Linked DNA regions of Xenopus tropicalis. The protein of the gene in region 3 interacts with the protein of the main gene of each other region in a pairwise test. Links are inferred from orthologs where the notes say so. Each region holds a gene or a part of one and is shown on either strand. Other genes may lie near its edges.

Region 1 (5,949 bases), about 120 Mb from region 3:
CTGCTCTGGAGACTGGATCAATAGTAGAGTAGTTCAGCTTCCATGTGGGTGTGCAGTTATCACTTAGGTTAGTTGCACACACAACCTGCAAAATATTTAATGTAGACAAATTCCTTTACAGTGTTGACAGGAAGTCACCAATAACTTTTTGTTAGATGTAGAGAGTGATATTCTGAAGCTGCTTGCAATTGGTCCCTTTTTATTTTTCATTTGTGTTTTTTTTCAATTATTTAGCTCTTTGTTCAGAAGCTCTTTAGTTTGGCATTTTGGCAGCCATCAAGTTGCTAGGGTACAGATTACTCTAGCAACCAGGCAGTAGTTTGAATGACACTAGAATATAAATTGGAGAGGCCCTGTATAGAAAGATAAGTAACAATAAAATTGTAGCCTCACAAAGCTAGAAGTTTTTTGGTTGCTGGGTTCAGTGTCCATTTTTAAGCTGAAACGAGGCAGAAAAGCAAGGCATATAATTCATAAACTATAAAAACAAACCTGCTAAGAGTTGTCCATTGTATAATATATTTGCCATTTCCCATGGGTGAGAAATCTTTTTTGTGCCATTGCCCTAATTAAGCTTTCTTGCTAAGAAAGATATCATTTTATGTTAATAGATGTTGTTATACTGCCTGTGTGTTAAATGTTTAGTTGTTTTCTGGTACATAAATATCTTCCCAAATTATAGATAGGTGTTTGTTAAAAATTTCTGTGCTGCACTTATTTATACACCTAATTTAAAAAAGTTAACTGTTTTTTTTAAAAAGTATTTGCAGAAAAGTAAAAACTAAATTAATTTAATCTAAACAAGTAATTGAATATTCCAATTAGTTAATACTTTTGGTTAAAGTATTTCTAAAACAGCACAAGCATAATTTGTGTGCAACAAAAAGTGAATTTCTTACATTGTATTGCAGGTAATGTGCACCTTGTAGTAGTTACATTTTGTAATGCACTGCAGTAGTTGTTGAGTAAGTCATGTTAGTTAGTTAGTTAATGTATTTAGTTAAGTGAATGGGTTAACAGCCCTGTTTCAGCTTAATTGTGGCTGATCTAATCATTGATTTGTGCATAGTGCTATAAATAAAATCCTCCTTGCCTGTTTAGTAAAGAAATATGTTAATTACAAGCCTTATTAAACAAACTAAGCATACATTATAGGCCTATTTTTCAGCATTAGATAAATGTATCTTATGTTGGAGAATGCCTTATACTTCATGTTTAATTTGGAAGCATTTCCCTTTTAGCTCTCCAATAGTATTATATTATGGTGCTATTTCATATCAAAATCTAGTTGCGACTAGTTTGTCAAGCAAATAAGTGAGTAAACATTGCTAAAATGTACACACAGCCTTAGCTGCAGTGCTTGTTAATATATTCTTTGTTAACGCTAACTTTTTTTTTTTTTATTTACCTCTTAAATTTATATAGCAATGGTACCAGTATGATATCTTTAATCATTCCACCCAAAGACCAGATTTCTCGAGTGGCAAAAATGCTGGCTGATGAATTTGGTACCGCATCTAACATTAAATCACGAGTAAACAGACTTTCGGTCTTGGGAGCAATTACATCTGTGCAGCAGAGACTTAAACTCTATAACAAAGGTAAGAAATAGCTACAAGCTTTTATATTTAGGTTGTCTGTGTTAGAATCAGAGTTAAACTCCTTTTGGTAAAGGAGTCAGTGTCTTTAGTAAATCTATGCACAAAAGGAATGGTACATACAATTAAAAAAAAAAAAAGCATATTTAGGCTTCATCCTGTGTAATAGCCAAAAAGAATTGTAGTGCCACAGCAACCAGAGAATGCAGAGTGAGCAGAAATGTTACGCAAGTCAGGACTGTATATTAAGGTTATGTAGGCAATAGTTCCTGACAGAGAGCTGGGAGGTGTATTAATTAATTATGAACAAATTTTGTTTAGCCTATTGGCACCAATGGCCTGGCCCACAAAAGGTGGTACCCTTGGCATGGGCCTTCTGGGGCCTATATGGTAAATACAGCCCTGATACAAGGCTGAAAATATTTAGTCTGTAAGAAATGTGTACGTTCAAAGAAAAGGCTACACTAAGGGCAGTGGTACATGGGGAGATTTGTCGCCCGCAACAACGAAGATTTGTCGCGGGGCGACTAATATCCCCGTGTGCCACTGCCCTTACGTGCCTCTTGATATCTTTACTTTCACCTCCTCCTGTTTATGTGTATATGTGTGGAATTTATAATATACACAGACACAGTATATATACAGAAACTCAACATTTTTTTTAAATGTTAGTAACTTGGGAAACAAACTGGAAGATGCCATTTTACATCAGGGATATTAAATTGTGTATTGTGGAAGCTTAAATTGGACTTAACTCTTGTTGTTTTATAAACAGTTCAGAATTCATAATCTATTATATTCAGGAAGTTTATTTCAGTGAAAATTATGTTAAATTGTCATTTTCACTATAGATCCCCCTTTAATATGATGCACTGATATCTACAGGGAACTATATTTTCTACTATAGTATTGTGCAGTATAGTGTAAGAAAATAAACAACCACATACTATGTCTTTGTTCCTATTTAGATGGTGGGAGAATTTTTTTTCATGTGATAAACAGGTTCTGGGTGGTATAAAGAGATCTCCCAGTACTGTGTCTTAAGCCATTGTGTTGGGTAAGAAGACACCCAGCCCCCAGGGTCTTTTGTTTTTCGCATTAGAGTGTGCATATGCTGCTGTTTACTAAAAGTACACTCTTCCCTGGACCTTTTGTTTTTACAAATTAGAACTGGTAGGCTACTAACCTAGTGGCAAAGTGAATATATCACTATTTCCGTATTGGCCTAAACATATGAAAAACCTACATTTTTAGATTCCATGACACCAGAACACATATTTTTTAAGACATCTAAGGCCACCTAAGCTTCATGTTAGAATTCTACTATCCTCCAAGTGAGTTTCTTGCAGAAGTATAAGATAGGGGTCTGTTTTATTTTTTTTTTTAAAGGAACAGTAACACCAAAAAATGAAAGTGTATAAAAATAATTAATATATTATATACTATTGCTCTGCACTGGTAAAAGTTGTGTGTTTTCTTCATAAACACTACTGCAGTTATATAAATAGCCTGCTGTGTAGCCATGGGGGCAGCCATTTAATTTGTAAAAAGGAGAAAAGGCACAGGTTACTAAGCAGATAACAGATAAGTAGCAGATTCCCATTGTATTCTACACGATTTATCTGGTATCTACTTATGTAACCTGTGCCTTTTCTCCTTCTTTCAATTTAAATGGCTGCCCCCATGGCTACACAGCAGCTATTTCTATTAACTATAGTAGTGTTTCTGAAGCAAACACACAACTTTTACCAGTGCAGGGCAACAGTACATTATATTTTAATTATTTTAAAACATTTTTATTTTTTAGTGTTACTGTTCCTTTAAGACACTGGAAGACAAGCCCCCTTTTAATTTAAGGTCTGGTGTTCCAGCAGTTGACCAGATTATACTTTGATAACTAGAGTACAATTTTACTCTGCAGGTTAAAATATACCCCATATAAAATGTTTCAGTAATGAAAAGACATGAGTAATTCTTCCAGCCTTCTGCACCCCTGCACTGGGGCCAGACATTTCATATGGCTTCACAGCAAACCTTCATTGGAATTAGTAAGAAAGAGGGGAGAAAACTTAAAGGAGAAGGAAAAGCTAATTAAGAGTTAATCTCAAGCTGCAGGCATACCTTCAGCTCCTTCAATAGTGCCCTTAGGGCTGTGGCACATGGGGAGATTAGTCGCAGGCGACTAATCTCCCTGTGTGCCACAGCCTTTAATTCTCCCCATATTTCTCCCATTCAGATGATCAGAAGCCTCATAGGAAAAAAAAAAATGCTGAGCTCTGTAAAGAAAGTTCCCACAATGCCTCGCTCCTGCACAGAGACCAAGACCCCTGTACATGCTCTGTTTGTAAGACTATGAGAAAGCTTCCTGCTGATTGGCTCAGATCACACATTCCTAAGCGGAGGGGAGGGAGTTTTTAGCATTCTTGAGGGAGGGGGGAGCAGGAGAGGGGAGAGAGCTGCATGTCTCTGGCACAGGAAAACGGACAACAAATCCTGTTTCTTTTGACAGAAGTCAGTACAGCATTTCTGTGAGTGCTTATGGCTGTATTTACATAGACCTTTCTGATAAAGCTTACTTGGTTTTTACCTTTCCTTCTCCTTTAAAACCATGAATAGTAAGGTGAACATCAGTTTAGTAAATAGTAAGTTATTTACTAACTTAGTGGTCAGACAAGGTAAGAGTTAACTGTTACTAAGCTTGGTGAGCATTATTATTAAACTACAAACTAAACTTTAGTTGGAGGAACACAAAGTCATAGCTGTAGGTTGTGTCACAGCTTAAAAACCAGGGTAGCAGTCAAACCAGTGGTAACTTGTGTAAACTAGTATGGGATCTGTCCCTCTATCATATATGGAAGGGTGTATGTTAGGATGCTATTAACAAGGACAGGGGTTAACTTTATTATTGGCCTCATTCAATCAGTGTTGGATGGAAGCTTCTTCTATTTCCTGCCCCCATCATTTGCACTTGTGTGAGCAAACAGGTTTTTTTTACTTGTTCTAGGGTGTTCTGCAGTAAAGTTAGGTAGCTGTGATCCAAATTAATTTCCATGTACCATGTAGTATTGATTTGATGTCAGAACATGATGCCCATCCTGCGACAACCCCTCTTAATATTCCCTGGTACTGTAGTTCCTGTGGTCTCTCCCTCCCTCTGAATGAGTTACTGGTTATGTAACTCACTGGTATTTACTGTATCATGTAACTGTTTGGAATCACACTATCACATAGTGCACTTCTGCATTTTCAATGTTTTAGTGCCAGAGATGCACATTGAGTGGAATTCTGGGAGGAAAATCTGCATTGTGAGAAACACTTAGCAATTTGCTCTTTCGATGTATTGCATTCACTCATGCATGGGAAATGAATGTAGTAAACTTCTACAGTATTCACTTCAAAATGTTCTAACCTACTCCACAATTTTTCTTTTCTTCTAGTTCCCCCTAATGGTCTGGTTGTTTACTGTGGAACAATTGTAACAGAGGAAGGAAAGGAAAAGAAAGTCAACATTGATTTTGAACCTTTCAAACCAATCAATACCTCTCTCTATTTATGTGATAACAAATTTCATACAGAGGTACATACAGAGGTGTTTTGTTATTTCAATGTCTGTCAAGAATTCTAATGCGCTATAGACCTCTATTACATTTATGTTTTACATACACACAACACACGTTCCTTAGAGCATGTGAAAAAGTTGTACAGATATTCAACCCGTTGTCTGGAAACCCATTATCCAGAAAGCTCTGAAATACAGGAATGCCATGTCCCATAGACTCAATCAGATTTTTCATTGATTTCATTGATTTTTCTCTCTTATAAAACAGTAGCTTGTACTTGATTCTAACGAATATATCATTTATCTTTAGAGGCAAAATCTTGTTGATTTTAATACTTAATTGTTTTTTTTTTATAGTAGACTTAAGTTATAGAGATCCAAATTATAGAAAGACCCCTTATCCAAAAAACCCCAGGTCCCAAGCATTCTGGATAACCTGTCCATACCTGTAGTTGACTGGTTACTAGTATGGATTTCGTTTTACAAAACATTGTGAAGGTATAGACTGAAATTTACTATGTGTCTTGCACCCCTTATGTATTTATAAAATATTTTTCAAAATATGCTATGGGTTTTTGAGACGTGTAATAATCCAGATTTGCACTTAGTATGTACATGTACTTAGTATGAGCAAAAACAGACAGTACCAACCTCAATATATAGCTATATAATGTATGTGTATACACATAATAGATGTGTGTATATATGGGCTTTTTAAATGTGCCAGAGTGTTTATTTAATTGCATTGCGAATACAGTGTTCTAAGGTTCTTGGGTTTTTACTAAGAAAACC
Region 2 (6,441 bases), on a different chromosome or scaffold from region 3:
TTCACCTTTTAGCATGTTATACAATGGCCTATTATCAGCAAATTTTCAACTGGTCTTTATTTTTTTATATCATTTTTGAATTATTTGCCTTTCTCTTCTGACTCTTTCCAGCTTTTTTTTTTTTTTTATTACTTATCTTTCTATTTAGGCCCTCTCCTATTCATATACCAGTCTCTACAAGACCAAATAGCTGCTGAAATTCCTAACTGAAGAGCTGCAGAAAGAAAAGCTTAATAATTCAAAAACTGAAAATAAAAAATGAAAGTAAACTGCAAAAATTGCTCAAAATAGTACTCTCTACATCGTACTAAAAGTGAATTTAAAGGTAAACAACCCCTTAATATTAGTGGTCAAGGACACTGTATTTAGTTTATAAAAGCAACTAAAACCATGTGTATTTGTGTAACAAATTCTCTAGCTTATACCCATATGTAGTGCCAATGCCATTCATTCATTGCTCCCCTTAAGGGCCGCAACAAAAAAATGGGCAGTGAAAATATTAAACTGAAATGCCTGGCCTGTAATATAAAAAAAAAGTGCTGGGAGTAGTAGTTTAGCATTCTCTCGTTTCAAAGGGCTATTATATAGGAGAGAAAAAAATTGTTGGGAATTTCTCTATGGTTTAAAGCATTCCAGGATATAAATCGCCTTACGCACACATCTATCTAACTGACTGTCCTTGTACCTTATCTGACAAATAGATTAGTACCATCACACAGCCCCCCATACCCTTCCTTTGCATGCACGCGACTGGGCTGTGTCAGGGGTCTTAAACAACATTGTTAGTCTTTTTATGTGCTTTATAAATACACAGAGCAACAGCGAATATCCGGTACGTTCCATTTGGCCTGTGCCACTAAACGGCGCTCAGAGGGTAATCCTCTCATTGTCACAGAGCTGCCTCTTCTTTAAAAGCCCCCATCTAAGCCAAATGACATATAATACATGCACCTAGCTCTCTATATACACTTGCACCCACTATCCCAAGCTGGCCCTAGAACATCCACATATCTTTTTCTTTGCTGATCTCCTCACAAACACAGATCGGCCCTTCCTGCTCCAAGAGCCCCCAATACATTTGTCTATCCACGTGACTTAATGCAGAGGCGTGTGCTATTCAGAGAGGGGCTCACAGGATAAATGCCACAGAAGATTATCACTTGCTCAGATTCCAGTGCCACCGAGGCCCGACAACACTTCTAAACTGGTCTCTTGTTGTTCAAGGCAACCAACATACACACAGCTGATTGGGGGGGGGGGGGGGGAATATACGCCTTAATCTACACTGCAGGACTTACACACAGACCAGCTTCATATATACATTCCGGCAGGTGAACACTTCTCCAGCCCAAAGCCACACCTAGTTCATTTTCTAGCCTCACAGTTCCTGCAACTTGGCTAAGAACCAATCTCTCCGGAGTGGTAACTTGTTTTAATAATAGCCTAGTCAGCAGATATACCAACTGTCTATTTTACTGCAAGTCCCAGCATCCCCCGGCATTCTCAGCTGGCAGGGGGAAGCCCAATGCCGCACAAAGACTATAGTTTGAACATCCATTTCTATTTGCAAACACAAAATGAAACAACTAGAATATTGTAGTGCAATTACAGTAACAACTTACACTTGTGTGGTTGCTGTTAGATACCCATACTGATCATACAACCAAGTCTGGGCTTCAAAATAGGCCCTGGGATTCCAAGTACACAGCGACCCAAACAGCCCCCCCAGCCCAATAAATAGTGACTGCCTATGGCACCTTACAGCAGCCCCTCTGGCATTTGCCAGAACCCACAGATTGCCAGTCCGGGCCTGTATCTATCCTTCCCTCCTTCATAGTGGAGAATTATTAGTTCTGGACTGGGATACAAAATAGGCCCTGGCATTCCCAGTACCCAGAGGCACAAACAGCCCCCCCCCCCAGCCCAATAAATAGTGACTGTCTGTGGCACCTTACAGCCCCCCTGGCATTCCCAGTACCCAGAGGCACAAACAGCCCCCCCCAGCCCAATAAATAGTGACTGTCTGTGGCACCTTACAGCCCCCCTGGCATTCCCAGTACCCAGAGGCACAAACAGCCCCCCCCCAGCCCAATAAATAGTGACTGTCTGTGGCACCTTACAGCCCCCTGGCATTCCCAGTACCCAGAGGCACAAACAGCCCCCCCAGCCCAATAAATAGTGACTGCCTATGGCACCTTACAGCCCCCCTGGCATTCCCAGTACCCAGAGGCACAAACAGCCCCCCCCCCCAGCCCAATAAATAGTGACTGTCTGTGGCACCTTACAGCCCCCCTGGCATTCCCAGTACCCAGAGGCACAAACAGCCCCCCCCAGCCCAATAAATAGTGACTGTCTGTGGCACCTTACAGCCCCCCTGGCATTCCCAGTACCCAGAGGCACAAACAGCCCCCCAGCCCAATAAATAGTGACTGTCTGTGGCACCTTACAGCCCCCTGGCATTCCCAGTACCCAGAGGCACAAACAGCCCCCCCAGCCCAATAAATAGTGACTGCCTATGGCACCTTACAGCAGCCCCTCTGGCATTTGCCTGAACCCAACATTTGCCAGTCCGGGCCTGGATACAACACTAACCTAGAGGCAATGCTTTATTTTACCCCAACATAGGAACAAGTCTGCACCAAATCATGGAAAGCAATATAAATGTGCAGCCAAGTGTGGGCCTATTGCATAACCCCAGTGGTATAGACCACAAAGTGAAAGTGACTCCTCCCTATTCAGGGAGATTTATGTAACAGTAAAGTCCTTGATTATTAACCTTGAGTATCAAGACGTTGGTGAACTACAACTCCCAGTATTTTCCGACCTCAAGGAATAAAGCATAAAGGGAGTTGTAGTTCTACAGAATCTTTGACCCAAGGTTAAGAAATAGAGCATTTAAGTATTATTCTGATCGGCAGATAATGATAATCTCCCACCCAATTATTATACATAAAATCATTATGGGAATTATAACTATTCTGAATACTAAAGCCCAAACTCCCCGGGGCCACTCAGACTCCCTGCCCTTTGGTTACCCCTCTCTCAGTGACAGAACCCCCCCTGCTCCTCTCAGTCACAGCCTAACTGTGCCCCCCCCCCCGCCCCAGGACTCAGTGCCCCCCCTGCCCCAGGACTCAGTGCCCCCCCCCCCTCTCAGTCACAGCCTAACTGTGCACCCCCACGCCTGCTAACATTATGCCCCATAACCTCAATAACTTCCGCGGTGGGGAAATACCAGTTTTCGCGGTAGAATGGATGAACAGAATAGAGATCCGTGACTAGAAGCTTTCGGCCCCCCTACCCGCACCCCAAGTCCGGGGACCCCGAGCACCCACCCGTTTCTCTTCCGCTCTCCTCGTGTGTGTCCCGCCCGTGGGTCTCCCAGCTCCAGACTCTCACTTCCGCATCACCCGGCAACACTGAAAGCCAGCAGCGGCAGCCAATCAGGAGGAAGGAAGTACTGAGCCCATCAGCGATCACCAATGGCAAAAGAACAATAACACAACCAGCCAATAAGACGATAGCTGAAAGCTACGTCACCAAGCTGTCTCTGTCACGCAGTTAGCCAATCGCACGATAGCGTTGTAAGTTACTAGCGGTTACATCACCCACTGCCGCCAGGAAGCTAAGCTTACAGTCCCGCTTGACTCCTCAGCCTACTTCCTGCCGGGTCTGCTGTGCAGCCGACACACAAACCATGCCTGACACCTGAATAAAACCACACTACATGAACTAGAAGCCGGAAAACCAGCCGCTTTGGGCCTCACAGTGACTTGCAAAAAGATTGCGTCTTACGTCACACGTTCTAGAAGCTTCAGTGCGTGTGACGTCGACGCGTGTCCATAACAAAGACGTTGCGCAATGTCGGCAACATGTGGCGTGATGTCACCTTAGCGATACTTTAGGTTGTTTGGGATGAAGTCCCTTGTGTGGTGTCGCAGTGTTTATATATATGTAGCGCCGGCACGCCTACCGACCGTATTACTGCGCCTGGCGTATGTTCAGTGTGCGGAAGGGAAAGTGACAGGAAGGTTGGGGGAGTGGGCGTGGCTTGTAGTCGGGAAGCGCCTGAGAGTTAAACATGAGCTTCACGGACAGTGTGCCGGTATGGAAGGGGCATTCGCACCATGAGTTCCCCCGGCGTGTCCTTGTTCCCTCCCCAGCGTGTGCTTGTTCCCTCCCTAGCGTAGTTTGCGCAGTCAAGTGACTGCCCCACATGCTGACTGCACCGGTGCCAAGTGCGCTTACACTTACCCAGCACCCTAGCACCCTGTCCCAGCCAGCTAATAACCTCCTCAGCACCCTATCCCAGCCAGCTAATAACCTCCTCAGCACCCTATCCCAGCCAGCTATACACCTCCTCAGCACCCTATCCCAGCCAGCTATTAACCTCCTCAGCACCCTATCCCAGCCAGCTATTAACCTCCTCAGCACCCTATCCCAGCCAGGTATTAACCTCCTCAGCACCCTATCCCAGCCAGCTATTAACCTCCTCAGCACCCTATCCCAGCCAGCTATACACCTCCTCAGCACCCTATCCCAGCCAGCTATACACCTCCTCAGCACCCTATCCCAGCCAGCTATTAACCTCCTCAGCACCCTATCCCAGCCAACTATTAACCTCCTCAGCACCCTATCCCAGCCAGCTATTAACCTCCTCAGCACCCTATCCCAGCCAGGTATTAACCTCCTCAGCACCCTATCCCAGCCAGCTATTAACCTCCTCAGCACCCTATCCCAGCCAGCTATACACCTCCTCAGCACCCTATCCCAGCCAGCTATACACCTCCTCAGCACCCTATCCCAGCCAGCTATTAACCTCCTCAGCACCCTATCCCAGCCAACTATTAACCTCCTCAGCACCCTGTCCCAGCCAGCTATACACCTCCTCAGCACCCTATCCCAGCCAGCTAATAACCTCCTCAGCACCCTATCCCAGCCAGCTATACACCTCCTCAGCACCCTATCCCAGCCAGCTAATAACCTCCTCAGCACCCTATCCCAGCCAGCTAATAACCTCCTCAGCACCCTATCCCAGCCAGCTAATAACCTCCTCAGCACCCTATCCCAGCCAGCTAATAACCTCCTCAGCACCCTATCCCAGCCAGCTAATAACCTCCTCAGCACCCTATCCCAGCCAGCTAATAACCTCCTCAGCACCCTGTCCCAGCCAGCTATACACCTCCTCAGCACCCTATCCCAGCCAGCTATTAACCTCCTCAGCACCCTATCCCAGCCAGCTATTAACCTCCTCAACACCCTATCCCAGCCAGCTAATAACCTCCTCAGCACCCTATCCCAGCCAGCTATTAACCTCCTCAGCACCCTATCCCAGCCAGCTAATAACCTCCTCAGCACCCTGTCCCAGCCAGCTAATAACCTCCTCAGCACCCTATCCCAGCCAGCTATACACCTCCTCAGCACCCTATCCCAGCCAGCTAATAACCTCCTCAGCACCCTATCCCAGCCAGCTATTAACCTCCTCAGCACCCTATCCCAGCCAGCTATTAACCTCCTCAGCACCCTATCCCAGCCAGGTATTAACCTCCTCAGCACCCTGTCCCAGCCAGCTATTAACCTCCTCAGCACCCTATCCCTTCCAGCTATACACCTCCTCAGCACCCTATCCCTTCCAGCTATACACCTCCTCAGCACCCTATCCCAGCCAGGTATTAACCTCCTCAGCACCCTATCCCAGCCAGCTAATAACCTCCTCAGCACCCTATCCCAGCCAGGTATTAACCTCCTCAGCACCCTATCCCAGCCAGCTATACACCTCCTCAGCACCCTATCCCAGCCAGCTATTAACCTCCTCAGCACCCTGTCCCAGCCAGCTATTAACCTCCTCAGCACCCTATCCCAGCCAGCTATTAACCTCCTCAGCACCCTATCCCAGCCAGGTATTAACCTCCTCAGCACCCTGTCCCAGCCAGCTATTAACCTCCTCAGCACCCTATCCCAGCCAGCTATTAACTTCCTCAGCACCCTATCCCAGCCAGCTATTAACCTCCTCAGCACCCTATCCCAGCCAGGTATTAACCTCCTCAGCACCCTATCCCAGCCAGCTATTAACTTCCTCAGCACCCTATCCCAGCCAGCTATTAACCTCCTCAGCACCCTATCCCAGCCAGCTATTAACCTCCTCAGCACCCTATCCCTTCCAGCTATACACCTCCTCAGCACCCTATCCCAGCCAGCTATTAACCTCCTCAGCACCCTATCCCAGCCAGCTATTAACCTCCTCAGCACCCTATCCCAGCCAGCTATTAACCTCCTCAGCACCCTATCCCAGCCAGCTATTAACCTCCTCAGCACCCTATCCCAGCCAGCTATACACCTCCTCAGCACCCTATCCCAGCCAGCTATTAACATCCTCAGCACCCTATCCCGGCCAGCTATTATCCTCCAATTGAGTAATGGTCATGGTATAGGCATACAAGG
Region 3 (6,605 bases):
GGAAGAAGGAAGAGAAGTTGAAAGCTGCTTGTGATTAGCCGGGAATGTGCCAGAACGAGTGACGCCATAGAGTTATGACTGCTTTACACACATCCCATGTTTACCTGGCACACTGCGCGGCGTGTAAATATTGCATTAATGCAGCCATTTTGGGTTAATAGAGCACCCTTTATGCTCCTACGTTCAGCAGCAGCAGTTCCCATGCTAGTCGCACCAAAGATAAACTGCCTATATAGTTTTTGCATTATTTGCCTTCTTCTTCTGTCTTCTTTCCAACTTTCAAATGGGGGTCACTGACTCCGGCAGCCAAAAACTATTGCTCTGTGAGGCTACAATTTTACTGTTATTGTTACTTTTGATAACTTTTTTTTCTTTTCAGGCCCTCTCCTACTCATGTATCAGTCTCTAATTCAAACCACTCCCTGGTTGCTAAGGTAATTTGGACCCTAGCAACCAAATAGCTGCTAAAACTATAAACTAGAGAGCTGCTGGACAAAAAGTTAAAAAACTTATTTTTCTGTTCAGCTTCACTACTATTCATATATTGGTCACTCTCTCAAACCTCTCCCTGGTTACTAAGGTGAAATGGACTCTAGCAACCAGATAGCTGCTGAAATGTGAGACTAGAGACCCCGGCAGCCAAAAACTATTGCTCTGTGAGGCTAAAATGTTATTGTTATTGTTACTTTTGATAACTTTTTTTTCTATTCAGGCCTTCTCCTACTCATGTATCAGTCTCTCATTCAAACCAATCCCTGGTTGCTAAGGAAATTGGCACCCTAGCAACCAGATAGCTGCTAAAACTATAAACTAGAGAACTGCTGAACAAAAAGTTAAATAACTTATGTTTCTGTTCAGCTTCACTACTATTCGTATATTGGTCACTCTCTCAATCTTCTCCCTGGTTACTAAGGTGAAATGGACTCTAGCAACCAGATAGCTGCTGAAACGTGAAACTGGAGAGCTTTGAAACAAAAAGTTAAATAATAAAAAATGAAGACCAATTGGAAATTGTCTCGAAATATCACTCTCTACATCATACTAAAAAACTACCTCAAAGGTTTAGTATGATGTCGAGAGTGATATTCCGAGACAATTTCCAATTGGTCTTCATTTTTTATTGTTTGTTACTTAACTTTTTGTTCCAAAGCTCTCCAGTTTCACATTTCAGCTGCAATCTGGTTGCTAGAGTCCATTTCACCTTAGTAACCAGGGAGAGGTTTGAGAGAGCGACCACTATATGAAGAGTAGTGGAGCTGAACAGAACAAATAAGTAAAAATAACAATAAGTTAAATAAAAGTAACAACAATAAAACTGTAGCCTCGCAGAGTAATAGTCTTTTGGCTGCCGGGGTCAGTGACCCCCGTTGAAAGCCGAGCAAAGGCAGTAAATGAATGCAAATAATTCAAAAACTTTAAAAGATAAAAAAATGAAGACCGGTCGAAAAGTTGCTGAGAATTGGCCATTGTCTGCCCTGCTGGTTCTGACTTCTGAAACAATGTAGCACAAAGCCAGCCGGCAGACCTGTCTATTCTGGAAGAGACTGCCTTTTGCAACATTGTTTAAAAATCATAACCAACAGCAAATGCGGCTTTCCACGGCAATTACGTTTGCAAATAACTTTTAAGGCACTAAACTCTTTTTAATAAAATCATATTGGAAAGTTGCTCATATTTGTTTTATAAGGTAAAAAGTATTTTTTTTTGGGGGGGGTGGTTTGACGTGTCCTTTAACTAAGAGGTAGGCAAGACAAAAAAGGTTAGTTGATTTACTTTCCAAACACACAAATATATGAAACGTGAACATCTAATGTGGCAGAGAGTAACAAGGCACTATTTCAGTTTGTATAAAAAAAAAAAAAAAAGTAACAGCTGCTTTGTAGCACTGAGGTCCTGGGTTCGAGTCCAGCCAGGGCAATATCTGCAGGGACCTAGTGTAGAACCTTCTATAGGCACAAATGAGAATACACTACCTCATTATTATCTGGTCTCTGTGCCACTTTGCCCCAATCAGGACAGGCCTGCCAGGAAGCCATTAGGCTCCACTCACACCCAGCCTCAGAGCACAACAACTGAGATAGCCTCCGCTCTCTTCTAACTCTAGCACACAAGTGCGACAAGTGTCTCATCTCTCAACTAAAGCAGCCCAGTATGGCAGCACCCTCGCACTGATGATAGGCTTGAATAATGGGAAGACCTGTGCCACTGTACTGGGTGCCACTGTACTGGGTGCCACTGTACTGGGTGCAGGGCTGGCAGTGGTTTCCCCTACGTATTAAAAGTCATTTTCAAATAAGGGCAAAAGCAAAGTTGTTCTGATTAATACACAGGCAAGAGGCGCTGCACCTTCCATAAAGCGCAGTTTGGCACCCAGTCACCCAGTTGGGAAGAAAGCAAGGCTGAGCAGCTGTATGCCCCAAAGTGTCGCTCCCAGCAGCCAATCATTCTAAAGGGAGTATTCTGCTTTGTATCCAACACTGTCACAACTAGTACTGTACTGCTTGTGTGTATGCGGGTCACAAAGGCACTGTGTGTGTGTGTGAGGACTGGCACCTGTGCTGTGTATACATGCTATGGTACAGGTGTGTGTGTGTGTAAGGGGGCAGAGTAAAACTGCTGCTGCCTACACTGTATAAATATGCCATGGTGTCAGTGAGTGTAGAGGAGAGATTGGCACTGCCTGCCCTGTGTGTTGATGCCATGGGGTAGTGCGGGGGCCGACTTGCACTGCTGCTGCCTACACTGTATAAAGATGTAGTGGTGTAATTGTGTGTGTGTGGGGGGGGGGTGACACCGCATGCCCTGTGTATGCATGCCATGGGGTAGTGTGAGTGTACATATCATGGTACAGAGCTGTGAGTGAGTGTACATACAGCTGTGTGTGTGAGTGAGTGTACATACAGCTGTGTGTGTGAGTGAGTGTACATACAGCTGTGTGTGTGAGTGAGTGTACATACAGCTGTGTGTGTGAGTGAGTGTACATACAGCTGTGTGTGTGAGTGAGCGTACATACAGCTGTGAGAGTGAGTGTACATACAGCTGTGAGTGTGAGTGTACATACAGCTGTGAGTGTGAGTGTACATACAGCTGTGTGTGTGAGTGAGCGTACATACAGCTGTGAGAGTGAGCGTACATACAGCTGTGAGAGTGAGTGTACATACAGCTGTGAGAGTGAGTGTACATACAGCTGTGAGTGTGAGTGTACATACAGCTGTGTGTGTGAGTGAGCGTACATACAGCTGTGAGAGTGAGTGTACATACAGCTGTGAGAGTGAGTGTACATACAGCTGTGTGTGTGAGTGTACATACAGCTGTGTGTGTGAGTGAGTGTACATACAGCTGTGAGAGTGAGTGTACATACAGCTGTGAGAGTGAGTGTACATACAGCTGTGTGTGTGAGTGAGTGTACATACAGCTGTGTGTGTGAGTGAGCGTACATACAGCTGTGAGAGTGAGTGTACATACAGCTGTGAGAGTGAGCGTACATACAGCTGTGAGAGTGAGTGTACATACAGCTGTGAGAGTGAGTGTACATACAGCTGTGAGAGTGAGCGTACATACAGCTGTGAGAGTGAGTGTACATACAGCTGTGAGAGTGAGTGTACATACAGCTGTGAGTGTGAGTGTACATACAGCTGTGAGTGTGAGTGTACATACAGCTGTGAGTGTGAGTGTACATACAGCTGTGAGTGTACATACAGCTGTGAGTGTGAGTGTACATACAGCTGTGAGTGTGAGTGTACATACAGCTGTGAGAGTGAGTGTACATACAGCTGTGAGAGTGAGTGTACATACAGCTGTGAGAGTGAGTGTACATACAGCTGTGTGAGTGTACATACAGCTGTGAGAGTGAGTGTACATACAGCTGTGTGTGTGAGTGAGTGTACATACAGCTGTGTGAGTGTGAGTGTACATACAGCTGTGAGAGTGAGTGTACATACAGCTGTGTGTGTGAGTGAGTGTACATACAGCTGTGTGTGTGAGTGAGTGTACATACAGCTGTGTGAGTGTGAGTGTACATACAGCTGTGAGAGTGAGTGTACATACAGCTGTGAGAGTGAGTGTACATACAGCTGTGAGAGTGAGTGTACATACAGCTGTGAGTGTGAGGCACTGGTTACGCTTCTCTCCATGTCTGGTCCCCCATTCCCCCCTGTAGGACACACACACCGCGCTTTACGCTCCAGCCCTTCAGCTCTTGTTGCTGAGCTACAAGTCACCCCTAGGTGCTGCTGGCAGTTGTAGTTCAGGGAGAGCTTGAGAGCAGCAGGTTGGCGCTACCTTACTCGCCAATGATATCATCCCAGTCAGTACCTACTCCCCCCCGGCCCTTGCTTCCTGCCCCCTCCCGTCCGCCCGTCTCTTTATCCCTCCAGCTCGCCCCCTCTCCTGTTCCAGCTCCCCGCCTCCCCAATCCCTCCGGTACTTCCCGGGGCCCCGCACCGCCATTTCCCCTTGTCTCACCGGACTCCGGTCTGATTGCCAGCTGCCCCCGCCATGCTCTGGAGCAGTCACCGTGACTAAGCAGCAGCCCGCGTCACTCACACTGCCTCTGGGCGGGGCCATGACGTCCGCACCACTAGGGGCGGAGCTTACAAGTGGGTTTTTTTTTTATTGTTATTGAAGGGAGGAGAAAGGGCGGCTGTGATTGGCTGCGGGGCGCTGCTTAGGTGACTGTTTAGGGAAGTGAAAGTAAAGTGAGGAGAGAGAGCTCAGCGGAGCGGGGAGACCTGCGGCTCTGGTTCAGCTCCCGGCCAACTATAGCGTCACCTGTTGCGCATTAAACAACAAAGTGCTTGGCTTATTGCGTAAAAGTGTTACCTAAAGGGCGGGGGAGAGACGTGTATGTATGTTTTAGTGGTAAGTAGTGTAGTGCGTTGCCCATGGCTATGGCGCAGACATTATTCCAAGCCGTTCCTGTGACAAAATGCCTGAAGTGGCGGGTATATATAGTTGGCCTTTAGATCACAGGGGAGCGTTTAGGAGCGTTTCCGCCCACCCTCGAAGCTACTGAAAGACGTGTCTTTTTAGTCAGGAGTCGCCATATTATTAGCTGCCTGAACCTGCACCATTTATTTCCAGCCCTGTAAGGTACAGCTGCCACAAACCAGAGATCACCTCGGATAAACAGATCGCTTGAGAGTTCAGGGGACAGGTCTAATTAGTACATGTTACAGGGCAGCACTGATGCCTTTAAATTAAACTGAAATACAATTTTCTAGCCCTGTCCCTGAATTTTCAAGTGATCATGTGACCCTGCTACAGGTCTGGACTGGGATCAGGGTTGGACTGGGGGGTGCAGGGCCCACCGAGGCCGCTGCCCCCGCCCGGCCGTGTCCCCCGCACCCCCCCTCACCTGGCAGGGTCCCCCAGCCCGATGCCCGCCTCTGAGCATGCATACGTTTTACACGTCGGCCCACCAGTATTTTTCCCAGTGGCCCAGTCCGACCCTGACTGGGATTCAAAATAGACCCTGGCATTTTAAGTTCCCAGAGGCCCAAACAGCCCAATAAATAGTGAGTGTCTATGGCACCTTACAGCAGCCCCTCTGGCATTTGCCTGAACCCACAGATTGCCAGTCTGGGCCTGATTTTCAGTACACAGAGGCCCAAACAGCCCCCCCATAGGCCCAATAAATAGTGACTGTCTATGGCATCTTACAGCAGCCCCTCTGGCATTTGCCTGAACCCACAGATTGTGTACTGAAAATCAGGCCCAGACTGGCAATCTGTGGGTTCAGGCAAATGCCAGAGGGGCTGCTGTAAGGTGCCATAGACACTCACTATTTATTGGGCCTATGGGGGGCTGTTTGGGCCTCTGTGTACTGAAAATCAGGCCCAGACTGGCAGAGGCCCAAACAGCCCCCCATAGGCCCAATAAATAGTGAGTGTCTATGGCACCTTACAGCAGCCCCTCTGGCATTTGCCTGAACCCACAGATTGCCAGTCTGGGCCTGATTTTCAGTACACAGAGGCCCAAACAGCCCCCCATAGGCCCAATAAATAGTGAGTGTCTATGGCATCTTACAGCAGCCCCTCTGGCATTTGCCTGAACCCACAGATTGCCAGTCCGGGCCTGATTTTCAGTACACAGAGGCCCAAACAGCCCCCCATAGGCCCAATAAATAGTGAGTGTCTGTGGCACCTTACAGCAGCCCCTCTGGCATTTGCCTGAACCCACAGATTGCCAGTCCGGGCCTAATTTTCAGTACACAGAGGCCCAAACAGCCCCCCCATAGGCCCAATATATAGTGAGTGTCTATGGCACCTTACAGCAGCCCCTCTGGCATTTGCCTGAACCCACAGATTGCCAGTCTGGGCCTGATTTTCAGTACACAGAGGCCCAAACAGCCCCCCATAGGCCCAATAAATAGTGAGTGACTATGGCACCTTACAGTAGCCCCTCTGGCATTGGCCAGAAGCCACAGATTGCCAGTCTGGGCCTTCCCTGCTAGATATAGGCACAGCTGGGAATGCGATCAGGACCAAACGCCTGATTGATATCTTTGGGTTAATTAAATAAAATGCCTAGGCCACATTAGTCATAGCTGGCACTTTGCAGGGCCACAGTCAGGTGGGAACCCAGAGAGCAGGAGTATCTCAGGC
Region 4 (5,949 bases), on a different chromosome or scaffold from region 3:
TATTTTTTTCGTTTCCCTCAGTAAAATATTTTCAGTTGTTCTTCAGTTTCAACTCCCTTAAATGAAGGAGTCAGTTCTTTACTTAACAGGCCAAACTGATAGAGAGCCATTTATCAACACTGGGCAGTAAGCCATATCAACTAATCTGTTATTAGCTTTTTTTTTTTTTCTTCAGCCAGCTGAAGGTAGAACAAATAGTCAAATGGTTGCCATGGGTAACTGGCCAGGTTCAAAATAAATGAGCCCCAGAATGTAAGTTCTACTCCCACAGTACTGTCATGCTTTTTGCGCCTTCAGTCTATTGATATTTTATTTCCATAAATCAGTATCTTGCCTCAATAATGAAACACTATTATTTGTATCTCCCTTTTTATTGTTACTCTATTTTAAACCTTGTACTTTGAAATAAGTGCAAATATGCATGCTATTTATTTGTTAGTTGAATGGGATATTTTTGCTGTGTTTTTTTTTTAACTTTTTTTGTGTTCGTTGGTTGGCCATTGAGATTTTCTGATATTTATGATGTAATTACTCTTTGCTGAATAAGAAAAAAAGGAAAAAGATGTCTGTGCCCTTTTTTGTGCACATGGACTATTCCTTTTTAAATGTATTTTTTAAACTTTAATGCTGTGATTTCTAAACTGTTGAGTTTGGTTTTTTTTTTATTTTGAGGTTTTTTGCACTTAAGTTCGAAATTCGAGTTAGAAACGCAAATGTCTGGTATTTATTAGCTTACGAGTTTCTATAGAAGTCAATGGGAGTTGTCCTAGGCAAAGTCAAGCCATATTGTTGTATTTGAGTTTGTAATTCGAGATTATGGGTTATATTCGGGTTCAAACTCAAGAATTTGAGGTTTTTTTTAATCGCCCAAGTTTACCACTTTAATAAATAAGCAAACAGTCGATATTCAAATTTAATTGATTTAGAAAAACAAAACAATAAAGTGCTAAGATTAAAAAAAAAAAAAAAAAAATATGACAAAGTACAATTAATACTACCCCTAGGGCCATATTGTGTGCACCACAATTTACTGTGTGTGTTGACCTTAAAATGTTAGGCCAGCACACAGGGAACATTGCAGTAGGGTAGTAACTACAGTAATGTTTCTATAGTCTTCTTTTAATATATGTTTACATTTTTCTGAATTGTAATATCTCTTAATGTTTTAGGGTTCTGTTATGATCGAAAGCAATATGCAGGAGAAATGTGAGCCTGCTTCAGATGGTAAGTACATTTGTAGTAAGCAATACAAAAACTAGAGTAGGGTGGCCATGGAAACTTTTCTAATTGTAGTACATATTTATTTTTAATTTTTCTCTATTTCATACATAGTTCTGGAATCAGACAGTGGAGTTTACACGCGGTTTATGAAGAATCACAAATGTTATGATCTCATTCCCATCAGCTCAAAGCTTGTTGTGTTTGATACATCCCTGCAGGTGAGATCATTTTGTTTTTCTTGCAGTAGAACCAGTATCATGTGTTTTGTGACCTTGGCTTTAGCTGGATGCTTCCCAAACTGGGGGGACGGCTAAGGGGGCCCAGCTTGAAGGACAGTAAGGGTCTCCTAGTTGCTCCTGGAAGTCCTGCTTCAGGGTCAATTAGGGCAAGAAAACAATTGTTTGCTGCCCTAGATGTACTTGGAACTGTGTCTAAAGGACTGATACAACGGTGTATTCATATACAGGTATGGGAGCCCTTATTTGGTTTCCTGTTATGCAGAATGCTTCTGCTGGGAAGGCCATCTCTTTCCTGTAATAATAATAATTCTCTGTAATAATAAATCAGTGCCTTGTACTTGATACTAACTAAGCTGCATAAATCCATACTGGTTGCAAAATAAGCCTTTTTAATATTTGTAATGTTTGAATGCTTTTTGCAGATATTACGGTATGGTGATCCAAAGTTAATAGATCCTATACCAGTATCTGTAACCTTGTAATGAGGAAGCTTGAATAATAAAAAGGCCACAAATCTATTGCTTTAATTATTCAAACCTCTCTTAAATTTGCAGGTGAAGAAAGCATTCTTTGCTTTAGTCACTAATGGAGTAAGAGCTGCGCCACTCTGGGATAGCAAAAAGCAAGGCTTTGTAGGTAAGTGTCTAATAAAAGTATCATGTTAGCATGAGACATGAATATCCTAACATTTCTACTAAGCTGTCTTTCTTTTGGAAGCAGAGTATTCTTTAATCAACAAAATGGCTTAAGTTTTTGATTTGTTCACAAATCACCAAATAAAACAAAGGTGTTCTGTTATTTTCAGTTATAGCTCTCACATTAACCTCTCGGCAGCAGCTGATCATACCTAGCCAAGCAAATGTACATGTTGGATATCATCTGTGTAACTGTAATTTCTACAACTAAAATGTGTTTTGTAGGTCTGTGTATTTATTAGTAATATTAAAGAATATGTAAACCTTTAAAAATGAATGTAACATTGATCAGGGTGCTTTTTTTAAGCACTTCTTTAATTTACATGGTTTGTTTTGTTGTTTCAAAGCTATTAAGCTGTTGTTTAACTTGTAATAAGTTTTGTTAAAAAACAAACAAACAGTGCCACCTACTGGTCAGTTCCTCTGTATGGTCTTAGAGAGAGAGTTCAGAAGGGAAACTGAGAACTCTCTGAAAGTTGCTCTGCTCATATGACCTTCCATTCTGTTTCCTAACAGACTTAACTATATTTCTGTAAACTGAAGGGTGGATTCTTACTTGTAGTGTTTGGTAAGCATGTCTTTGTTAAGGCTGATGCCTCGCAGAGCGATAGATCTTTCCACCAGCAACAACAGGAGTCCATAGTGGAAAGGCAATTGCTTTGGTTGCACAAAGTTGCCTGCAGGAGGAAACCGCAAAGGCCTTTCCATCAGCAATTCCTATTTGTGCCAGTGGACAGGCATTTTGGAGCGGGTGACTAACATGCTTCATGAGAGATCACCCTGATGGGATACTGCAGTCTCAGAATGATAAATCTTTGTAAATAATTGTACCTTATAGACAGACAGCTTCTTTGGATGAACATTTGGCATATGCTATCCTCAAATAAAATATCACATCGGTTTCTTTATTGTGTGTTGGTAACCTTTTCACCATTTAATCAGCGCTCCTGGTTAAAGGAGAACTAAACTGAACCCTAAAAATAAATATGACTTAAAATGCTGTATTTTATATACTGAACTTACTGCACCATCCTTAAGTTTCAGCATCTCAATAGCAGCAATGATCCAGGGCTTCAAACTTGTCACAGGAACTCCCCATCTTGTCCTCTGAGCGGCTGTTGAGAAGCTAAGCTTAGGGGTTGTTGCAAATAATTAAGCACAAAATGTGGTTCACCTGTAATATAAGCTGATGCTACAGGGCTGATTATTAAATTTGTATGCTAATTGCACTGATTTTAGAGCTGTCATGCACTAATTATCTGTATTATTTACAAATCAGCCTATATTGTGACATTTACATTGTATATATACAGTATATTGTGCGTTGGTTCCTAAGCTCAGTAACTGACAGCAGCCCAGAGCATGTGCAGTGAATCAGCAGAAAAGAAGATGGGGAGCTACTGGGGGCATCCTCAGGGGCACAGATCTTCTATGATAAAGGGCTGAGGTTATCTTGGGCTGGTATAGGAGCCCAGAACATAATGTTCAGTATTTCTAACCTACTTCTTTAGTTCTCCTTTATATCTGACCTTTCATCTTTTTAACTTTCCTAATATAGGTATGCTAACCATAACCGATTTCATCAATATTCTCCATCGCTACTACAAGTCACCAATGGTGAGTTAAAAAAGGTGCATCTAGGTATATTTTACAATCTGTTCTTTGTCATTACAGTGGTAAGAGATCCTCAAGTGCATTACTTACATTATATGATATATTATAATATTTATTATATGTTTATTAAACTTTTTAAAGAACACTCTGTCAGGTTTACATTGATCTTTAAATTACTTGCTTACAGGTGTACATTAAATGATTTTGAAAGAAATTCTGTGTTCATATTGTAAGGAAAATAGGTAATTCGAATATGTTGGTGCTTTATAAATAAATGTTAATGTAATGTAATTCACAGAGCAGAAGGTAGAGAGAACAATTCCTTAAAGATGGTACCTAGAACTTTTAGCAATTCAAAGAATGCAACACTGTTTAATGCGCCCTTCTCAGTACAGGTACAAAGGAATCTAAGTTGGAGTTATTCGTTTCATCTAATTTTTTCAAACCAGGTGCAGATTTATGAGCTGGAGGAACACAAAATTGAGACATGGAGAGGTGAGTCTGGATACAGGCGCATACACATGAGCAATACAATTTTTAGTGAATGCAGGATAGGCCTCCACTTTTCACTTATTTTACATATCTGGCATGTTGTACTGCTAGGCTTCATGAAGAAGGTACTGTATTTATTCCTGCATTTACCAAGAGGACCCACTATAACAGCCAACATATTAGATAACAGCAAGTGGCTGTTCATTTTAGGCTTGCAAATGAGTTGTTCAATCATATATTTGCATTGTGAAGTGATCAGTCTGCAAGGGCTTTTGTTTTGTTAATGTTCTGATCTGGATTTTTTTTTTTGTTTCCCCTAGAGCTCTACTTGCAGGATTCCTTTAAGCCTTTGGTTAGCATTTCACCCAGTGCCAGGTAGGAGCCAAGACACTGTTGCTGGGATGGTCCGTGATCTGAGAGCCTAATTGCAATGTTTCATATTAACTATTAAATTACCATGTGCCATAAGACTATTGCAGGGAATATTGTAAATGCACTGAGAAAAGTCTATCTTTTTCTTCCTTTTGTCCTTAGTCTGTTTGATGCTGTCTCATCACTGATAAAGAACCGTATACACCGTCTTCCTGTAATCTCTCCTGACTCAGGGAATACTCTGTACATCCTGACACACAAACGCATCCTGAAATTCCTTAAGCTTTTTGTAAGTCTTGCTCTATTTGTATTATTCCTTTGGCTTCTACACACAGACCTCATTTCATCAGAATTTCTTATTTTATATTTTCAATGAGAAGATGTCTGAAGTTGAGAAACCTGCTTTTGTGACTAAATCCCTAAAAGATCTGCACATTGGCACTTATGAAAATATTGCCCTTGTTCGCCCGGACACTCCTGTATATGTTGCTTTGGGCATCTTTGTGCAACGGCGGGTGTCTGCTTTACCAGTTGTGGATGACTCAGGTTAGTGAAGGATTTCAGAGACAAGTTACAGTCTGTCATTTCCTCCTGTTGCTTTGTAGCTAACATGAGGTACAACAATGTTCCAGCAAATGTTCTGAATTTAGCATTATCCACTTCCTCTATAGGTGCAATAAAGAAGTAATTGATATTGAACAATATAAGGTGTAAAGGAAAATGCCTGTCTCCCAGGGCACTTAGAAAACTGGAAAAATGCTGTAGCATGTCATATATACTCTGCTTAATTAAATCATTGTAAGGATAAGGCCCCACGGATTGTCAGCTTGCATATAAGCACACACTGACACATATGCCCTTACGCTTGAAAAATCTTATTATTGTGCCTGAACACAGAAGCAATGAATCCACCTGGGTGCAGGCACACTCAGCCAATATCTGCCTACATACGCCAAGTCTCGCATTAATTGGCGGATATCGACTGCGTGTGCCTGCACCTGGGCAGATTCAGTTTTTCCGTGTGCAGTCACTATTTGAAAACGTTTTTAAGTGTATGGGCAAATTATCAGTCTGTGCTTATATGCCGGCTGACAGTCTGCCTTGTGGGGCCTTACCGTAACTCTCCTTGCTTCCTAATTTGTAACTCTGTTAAATTGCTTAGGGGAGGTATACGTCCTTATTTAACAAAAGCTCAATATATACAGTATAGGGCTTGTACTTAAAAATACTGTTTGCCTTTTTATAATTAAGAAACATCACTTTCTAAATTTCTCTAACAAATAAACCGTTTCCTGGTTTTGCCAAGCAGATCAGAA
Region 5 (6,749 bases), on a different chromosome or scaffold from region 3:
CAGGAGTATTCAAAATGCAGCAGTTACCTGTCCCAGGATGGGTCCAAGCGGTGGTCCAGGAGCTGCCTGCCCAGCTCTCACCAGTGCTCGAATCATGCCGGCAACATTGGCTTTCTTTACAGTTTTTACTGCACGTGAAGCTTTTGACATAACTAAGGGAGAACAAAATTTTTTATTGTAAACCAGAATAACAAAAAGTTTTAATAAGACACTGCTAAAGTGGGAGCGATTCCTACTAAATATTTGCCCCTACTCTATGCTCCATTAAACTACACTTCATTGTAAATGATAATGCATCTAGTTTCCTGTGCTGGCTGCTGCTCTATTATCAATCTAAACTGCTTTTTTTCCCCCAAATGTTAAATAGTTATCAGTGTAAATCTGGCCAACATAAATTCCTTATTCATACAACCTTTCGATTACCTTTATCCTAACACAACATGCTTTACTATCATTGAAGTTGTTAGCTCTACTTTCAGTAGCAGTAGTTGTTGCACAGTTGCTAACAGAAAGAAGTTTTTGACCATATTTTGTCCCATGGCAAGCATTTCTTTATATTATGACCAAAACACACGAAACAAATTTTGGTGCATAGAATTTTGTTAAAATACATACATTGCACACAACAGATTAAAGGGGACATTGCCCTGACCTGTTTTCAGCATTACTGCATTTTCCATAGTGATTCTGATATACAGAGGGAGTTTCAGAGATTAAATAAATGACAGCACTGGCACTTGCTTCATTTGTATAGCATTTCAGATTATTTAAAATGTTATTTCCTCCATAAAATACTGTAATCAGGGTCAGCTGTAGAAATATTTCTGTTAAACTGCCATGTCTCATATAGGGCAGCCCTAGAAAATATAAATCTGCTTTACTTTGGCTAAAGCTATCATAGAACATATAGTTTTCAGTGCAGAGGCAAGAAGCAGATCTAGAGACAGATCATGAAGTAACAGTGATGTGCAGGCTGGCAAAAAGCTGACCAGTAGCCAACCCTGCCAACCCACCTGACCATAACCCTCTGTATTTATAGACCTGCACCCGACCTGCCCCTCTCTGACAGGGCAAAAAATGGCAGGGCACACAGAGTCGAATTTATAAATACTAACATCTGGAGGCAGAGATGGGGCATAGTAAGGTCATAGGCAGGGTGGACACATGGTAAAGTGCAGCCCAAACCCATCCACAAAAGTTGTGTGGATGTTGGCTTGTGGGTCCCACAAGTTCAGGCCAGCACATAACTAAGAAGGTCATAAACTCCTGCAAACATCATAAATGGTGTCTGTCTAGTTTGAATGAGTTACAAAATCATTTTAAATCCCAAATGAAATCAGAGACATATTTTTCAAATGAGAAATAGTTCTTCCTAGGAGTGAAAGTACTCGCACAGTCTTGGCCAAAGGAACATGTTGTGAATTCACAAAAGAATCTTAAAAAGTATCTGCAGATCTGCAGGCCTTTCTCTTCTCAGCTTAGTGTCATGTCTGCAGACAGATTATTTGAAATAATGAGATCTGTTGCAGAAAAGCAAGGACAACACTCACTAGAAAGAAGAAGCGAGCACTCACCTCACGTCTGCCAAAATGCACCTGAATAAGTATGAAGCAGTCAGGGAACAATGGAACAAGATAAATACTAATGGGTCTCTGGGGCTGTAAGGGGAAAAAATCAACAGTCAAGAATGGCAGTTGCATATAATGGTGCAAGTATTACAAATAATTTATTCAATCAATTCTGTTCTGCGGGAGAGTTTTATACAGCAGAATTCCCATCTGGGATCTTAGGCACCAATAATATAATAATTCAAAACACAAAAATAAATCTATACCAAAAATGTAAATGATCTGTAATTGTTTCTAAAGGGGTATTAAAGCTTAATAAAGAAGTAGGGTAGAAATACTGCAGACTATTTTGTGGGTTTCTGTACCAGCCCAAGGCAACCACAGCCCTTTAGCAGGGAAGATCTGTGCCCCCAAAGATGCCCCAGTAGCTCCCCATCTTCTTTTCTGCAAATTCCCTGCACATGCTCTGTGCTGCTGTCACTTACTGAGCTTAGGGACTGACTTAGAATATAGTGTGTGTATAAAATTCAGAATAAAAGGCTCATAAGTAATTAATACATATTTTAGGTGTGCATACCCCATTGTAGAAGCAGAAGGAATGCTTGGGAAACACTTGTACGATGACAACACAGAATACACCAGCCAATATAAACTGTCAATTCTGTCCTTCCAGACCAAGTTGGCAGATTATCGGCCTGTGTATAGGGCCATCTGAAAGGCCTGCCCAACCAATGTCTGGTCAAAAATCTGCCAGATAATAATAGGGCAGGATTCAAAATACCACTGGGGCTAAACTATAAGATCTGTATGGGCAGCTTTAGTTAGAAAGATAAGGGGAGGCATGAATCCGAATTTCCCTGAAATCCCAGGACCTGAGGGACCATTACCACATAAAACAGCATTATTACAGAACAGGGGGCAACTAGCAGTCCCACACGGAAACATGCCTGGGGTCTAAAGGCACTTATGCTATATGACATTTCGGGGACCACAGGCCATAAAGCACTGAATTTCCAGCTGTCTCGAACTTATTGCCATGCACACTCAAGCTACATCTACTTGTACAGCTGCTTACCGTCCCCTCAGTAAGTCAGTACTCTGCAGGAACACGGCACCACTTTATGTCAGTCCTCTTGCACTCCCCTTACGACCTTCATAAGCAGCTCTCCATAAGCACGCAAGCTCATTTCGCTTTACCCGATTGGCTTCTCGGACTTTCTATTACGCTTGTACCATTGGTAGACATACTTGCCAATCACACTCGATCTGTGCTGCCATTGGATAAGCTTAGAGCCTTGAATACCGCTCGCCGATTGGATGACTGCGTTTCATTCTTACTTCAGTACCACTATCTGGGAATTTCATTGAATAGCAGTGACTTTGCTTCTTCACTGAATGGGTAAGGGCAGGCGTTACGTATACATGTGGGCGGAACCACAGCAAGCGTGGTTGGTGCTGTAACCCGGAAGTCTGGTCGTTTCAATTTTTGTCAAAATCCTGAACAGGTGAGGAAATTACATTGTTCGTATTACTTGTAGGAGCTCTAATCATTTGAATGAACAAGGATGGCGAGTTTACAATAAAAAATCATTTTAAATGGTCGCTATCAGTATTTTGAGTCTAAATAGTCCCCCAATGTAAATCAATCAGGGACTGTGATTAATTATAGTACTATAATTCACATAGACGCAGCCTATGTATTTCATAAGTGCTATTAATATCTTGATTTTTAAATATGTATGCAAAAAATAGGGATGCACTGCACCCATCATTTTTGGATTTGAACAGTTACCAAATTGTCCACAAAAGGTTCTTCTAAATAACCAGCCAATTGTAACCCCAATTTTACAACCCCAAGACTGTGCCAAACTGAGAACTGATTTTAGGTATGAAAAAAATGCTTAATTGTGAACAAACCAATAGTAAAAGAAAATGTAACTTTACTTTCCATTATACATTATCATTTTTTCCGGTTATATGCAGATGTAATTGCAGTGCAGTGTAACCTTAAAGTACATGTAAAGCCTAAATTTGCCTACAGTGTATATCAGTTGGGCACATCTCCCCCACCCAAACAGCATACACACACACAGACCCTTATTCAGCATACATTTCATCAAGAATACAGGCTCACACAGGCACAACTGTCTCTGATAAAAGTTCTGCTTTGTTCGAGCTGAGCTCAGGAGAGGAGGTTAGGAAAAAGAAATAGAGCTGAGTTACTATAACCACCAATGCCATCTCTTCATTGGCTGCTAGACTGGGGGGTGTGTTTAGTAATCTGAGTTTAGAACAATTGAGCATGTCTGGCAAGCCAGGAATCAAAGCAAATTACTGAGGGGGGGGGGGGGTTACAGGAGAAGAAGGAAATCCAAGTGATTAAGGAGATGTTGCAGCCTTACGATTAACCTCTGGACAACCAGTGTGGCAGGTACTGAAAGATTTCAAAGAGGCTGTTCACTGATTAAATTTTTGCGTGCAGGGTTTACATGTCCTTTAAAAGGGTGTAACAGGAGTCAGTTCTCCTCTAGGTCTGGTAGTAAACTGGCACCTGTCACCCAGAAATAAAAAGCTCTATAATAAAAGTCATTTTCAAATTAAGCAGGAAACCCTAATTTACTTTTTATTAAAATATGTATCCATGTTATAACCTCATTTAACAAGCTCAACTATCAATAATAATTTGTCTTCCCCACCTCTATGTCTGAGGCCCTGCAATTACTTTCATTTCTGTACCTCCTAGATGTCACTGCACTTCTCACATGCCCCCCCCCCCCCCCTGTCTATAAGTGTGTAGCCTGTGCATGGGCATGAGGTCCTTATTTATGGTACAGGTATGGGACCTGTTATCCAGAATGCTAGGGACCTGGGGTTTTCCGAATAAGGGATCTTTCCGTAATTTGGATCACCATAACTTAAATCTGCTAAAAATCATTTAAATATTGAATAAAACCAATAGGCTTGTTTTGGCTTCAATAAGGATTCATTATATCTTAGTTGGGATCAATTACAAGGTACTGTTTTATTATTACAGAGAAAAAGGAAATCATTTTTAAAAATTAGAATTATTTGCTTATAATGGAGTCTATGCGAGATGGGCTTTCGGTAATTTGGAACTTTATATATTAAACACGATAAGGTGACTTTACTTAATAAAGCAAAAGCAGTTGATGGGTATGTCATAATGGAAAACTGAAAGTCAAGAACGTAAAATTGTGTACTTGGATTTAAGTTAGTGAGTGTGTCAGTGCCAATGCCAGCCATCTCCTGGGCAAAACCATATGAAATGGATAAAGTCTGCCAGCTGTTTTACATGTTTGTACATGTACAAGACAAGAAACTCTTTTGAATATGTTGGTTCTTTGCACTTAAAGTTGCATGTGGTCAAATGTGCAAAAATTCCTCCTTCTTATATTCATTTGTCAAATACGAAGATTTTGATCAGATTTTGTGGGTCAGGTTTTATCCGATCTTGTCATGCAACACCATGAGATTTTATAGAATCCTACAAAATCTGAATTGTAATGTCAGATCAGATAAAGTCAGATGGAGTGTTTTGTTCAAATTCCCAGCTCAGCCATTCCTGATCATTTTTGCAGTGTGCCAGGCCTGCCACACTGACATTAAAGGGGATGTAGGTCACAGAGGATGGGGGATATAGGCAAGTCCGTAAAACGGATACAGAAACATGGGGCAACGCCTGTGAGGAAGGTGCAAGGCTTAAAGCCATCTTTATTTTGGAGAAAGGCAAGTGCAAAACATTTCGGGTAAAAAAGAGATACAGATGACTAATCATATACATGTATGTATAACAAATACAACTCATACTGCATCCCACGTGAGTCAAACACGTTCAATCCAACAAGTTCCACATTGTAAGGTGATAATAGATCCAGATAAATCCAGCCAGTAGTCCAACCAAGAAGTCCAACAATTGATTTGCCCCTTGCATGTTCCACATTAGAATCTCAAGTCCATGTTTGTGAAAAATATTATGAGAAATACAGTCCAAGTCCCAATTTTTCAATATATTTTTCACTAACATGAACTTGGGAATTCTAAAATTGTACAAGCATGGAGCTATTCATTTGTTGGACTTCTGGGTTGGACTGTTGCTTTGGGCTCATCTGGATCTATAACCACCTTACAATGTGGGACTTGTTGGGTTAAATACGATTGTGGCAGGCAGATATAAGTATTTGTTATAAAGACTTGTGTGAGTAGTCATTGGTGCCTCTTTTCACCTGAAGAAGAGTATTCACTCCAAATTGTTGTGCACTTGCCTTTTTCCAAAATAAAAATGGCTACAAGCCTTGCACCTTCTTTACACGTGTTGTCCCATGTTCCTATATCTGTTTGACGTACTTAACCACTTCTACAGTCATTTCGAAAGCTGTTTGGACTGGAAGAACCGGTGGACGATTAAAGGGAGGTTGGTACATTTAAAGGTGTGCTTACACAATTTCTCTACAGGCTTTCAGACAAGTCCTTTAGGGGAGCCTCTTACATTATCTTCCAACAGGTGTGCATGATTATTACGATAGTCAGTAGTTGTCTAAAAACTTTGCATGGCAAGTCTGTCCTTTTCTACTGGTTTCTGGAATATAGACACTTGAATCCTGGTTTGAGCTTTTTCATTTTTATTACTGCTTGGAATTTCTTGTCTTTATTTAGATTTTAATGCTTCTTAAGTCAGCTTATTGCAATTTGTTAAGTGTTATTCAAAATGTTGTTGCTACAATTTTCTTTAAATATGATGTACATTTTCAGCATGTGACCCACTGCTTCTAGCTGTTACAAAGGTGCTTCTCTTGCAGTGTTATAAATGGGACTGTAATGGCATATTCCATGTAGGTTTTAAATTACATTTCAGATGTAGTGCACTTAATGGTACAGCTGATAAAACAAGAATATACTATGACTGTAGGGCCTGTATCTGCAAAAAGATAAGAACTATGGCAGAAATCAAGCCCCTCTATATGATGTAGTTGGATGCTGCATGATACATACAGATGTTGCACTTTGTCTTTGCCATACTATAAAACAATTTGTTCTTTAGCCAAAGTGCAAAGTATGTCAATGTGCCCTGAAGCCTTATTGACAGTGGCAAATTCTCTGTTGCAGCTAGTGGTTATGCTAATGCTTTGTGATTTGCCTATGGCATGTCTCAGATCAGTTTTT

Evidence for each region.
Region 1: the proteins of keap1 (region 3) and etf1 interact in binary tests that used the Homo sapiens proteins (3 or more experiments, as listed by UniProt). The two-hybrid records come from large-scale screens. The link is inferred for Xenopus tropicalis from reciprocal best matches to the Homo sapiens genes KEAP1 and ETF1.
Region 2: the proteins of keap1 (region 3) and nfe2l1 interact in binary tests that used the Homo sapiens proteins (3 or more experiments, as listed by UniProt). The link is inferred for Xenopus tropicalis from reciprocal best matches to the Homo sapiens genes KEAP1 and NFE2L1.
Region 4: the proteins of keap1 (region 3) and prkag1 interact in binary tests that used the Homo sapiens proteins (3 or more experiments, as listed by UniProt). The two-hybrid records come from large-scale screens. The link is inferred for Xenopus tropicalis from reciprocal best matches to the Homo sapiens genes KEAP1 and PRKAG1.
Region 5: the proteins of keap1 (region 3) and dpp3 interact in binary tests that used the Homo sapiens proteins (3 or more experiments, as listed by UniProt). The two-hybrid records come from large-scale screens. The link is inferred for Xenopus tropicalis from reciprocal best matches to the Homo sapiens genes KEAP1 and DPP3.

The regions. Positions count from the first base shown.
Region 1 is NC_030679.2:20,587,575-20,593,523, forward strand, and holds part of etf1 (eukaryotic peptide chain release factor subunit 1), read left to right. Parts: intron 1-1,425; coding exon 1,426-1,601; intron 1,602-5,035; coding exon 5,036-5,175; intron 5,176-5,949. UniProt on the Homo sapiens protein: Component of the eRF1-eRF3-GTP ternary complex, a ternary complex that mediates translation termination in response to the termination codons. The eRF1-eRF3-GTP complex binds to a stop codon in the ribosomal A-site.
Region 2 is NC_030686.2:11,699,615-11,706,055, reverse strand, and holds the start of nfe2l1 (endoplasmic reticulum membrane sensor NFE2L1), read right to left. Parts: upstream 3,820-6,441; 5' UTR 3,796-3,819; intron 3,499-3,795; exon of another isoform or gene 3,336-3,498; intron 1-3,335. Other genes in the region: copz2 (coatomer subunit zeta-2), read left to right, coding at 4,082-4,105.
Region 3 is NC_030679.2:138,053,064-138,059,668, forward strand, and holds the start of keap1 (kelch-like ECH-associated protein 1), read right to left. Parts: upstream 4,487-6,605; 5' UTR 4,465-4,486; intron 1-4,464. UniProt on the Homo sapiens protein: Substrate-specific adapter of a BCR (BTB-CUL3-RBX1) E3 ubiquitin ligase complex that regulates the response to oxidative stress by targeting NFE2L2/NRF2 for ubiquitination.
Region 4 is NC_030678.2:136,346,197-136,352,145, reverse strand, and holds part of prkag1 (5'-AMP-activated protein kinase subunit gamma-1), read left to right. Parts: intron 1-1,169; coding exon 1,170-1,224; intron 1,225-1,332; coding exon 1,333-1,439; intron 1,440-2,014; coding exon 2,015-2,096; intron 2,097-3,713; coding exon 3,714-3,772; intron 3,773-4,218; coding exon 4,219-4,264; intron 4,265-4,581; coding exon 4,582-4,636; intron 4,637-4,795; coding exon 4,796-4,922; intron 4,923-5,013; coding exon 5,014-5,179; intron 5,180-5,949. UniProt on the Homo sapiens protein: AMP/ATP-binding subunit of AMP-activated protein kinase (AMPK), an energy sensor protein kinase that plays a key role in regulating cellular energy metabolism.
Region 5 is NC_030680.2:37,998,550-38,005,298, reverse strand, and holds the start of dpp3 (dipeptidyl peptidase 3), read left to right. Parts: upstream 1-2,945; 5' UTR 2,946-3,073; intron 3,074-6,749. Other genes in the region: mrpl11 (39S ribosomal protein L11, mitochondrial), read right to left, coding at 28-150. UniProt on the Homo sapiens protein: Cleaves and degrades bioactive peptides, including angiotensin, Leu-enkephalin and Met-enkephalin. Also cleaves Arg-Arg-beta-naphthylamide (in vitro).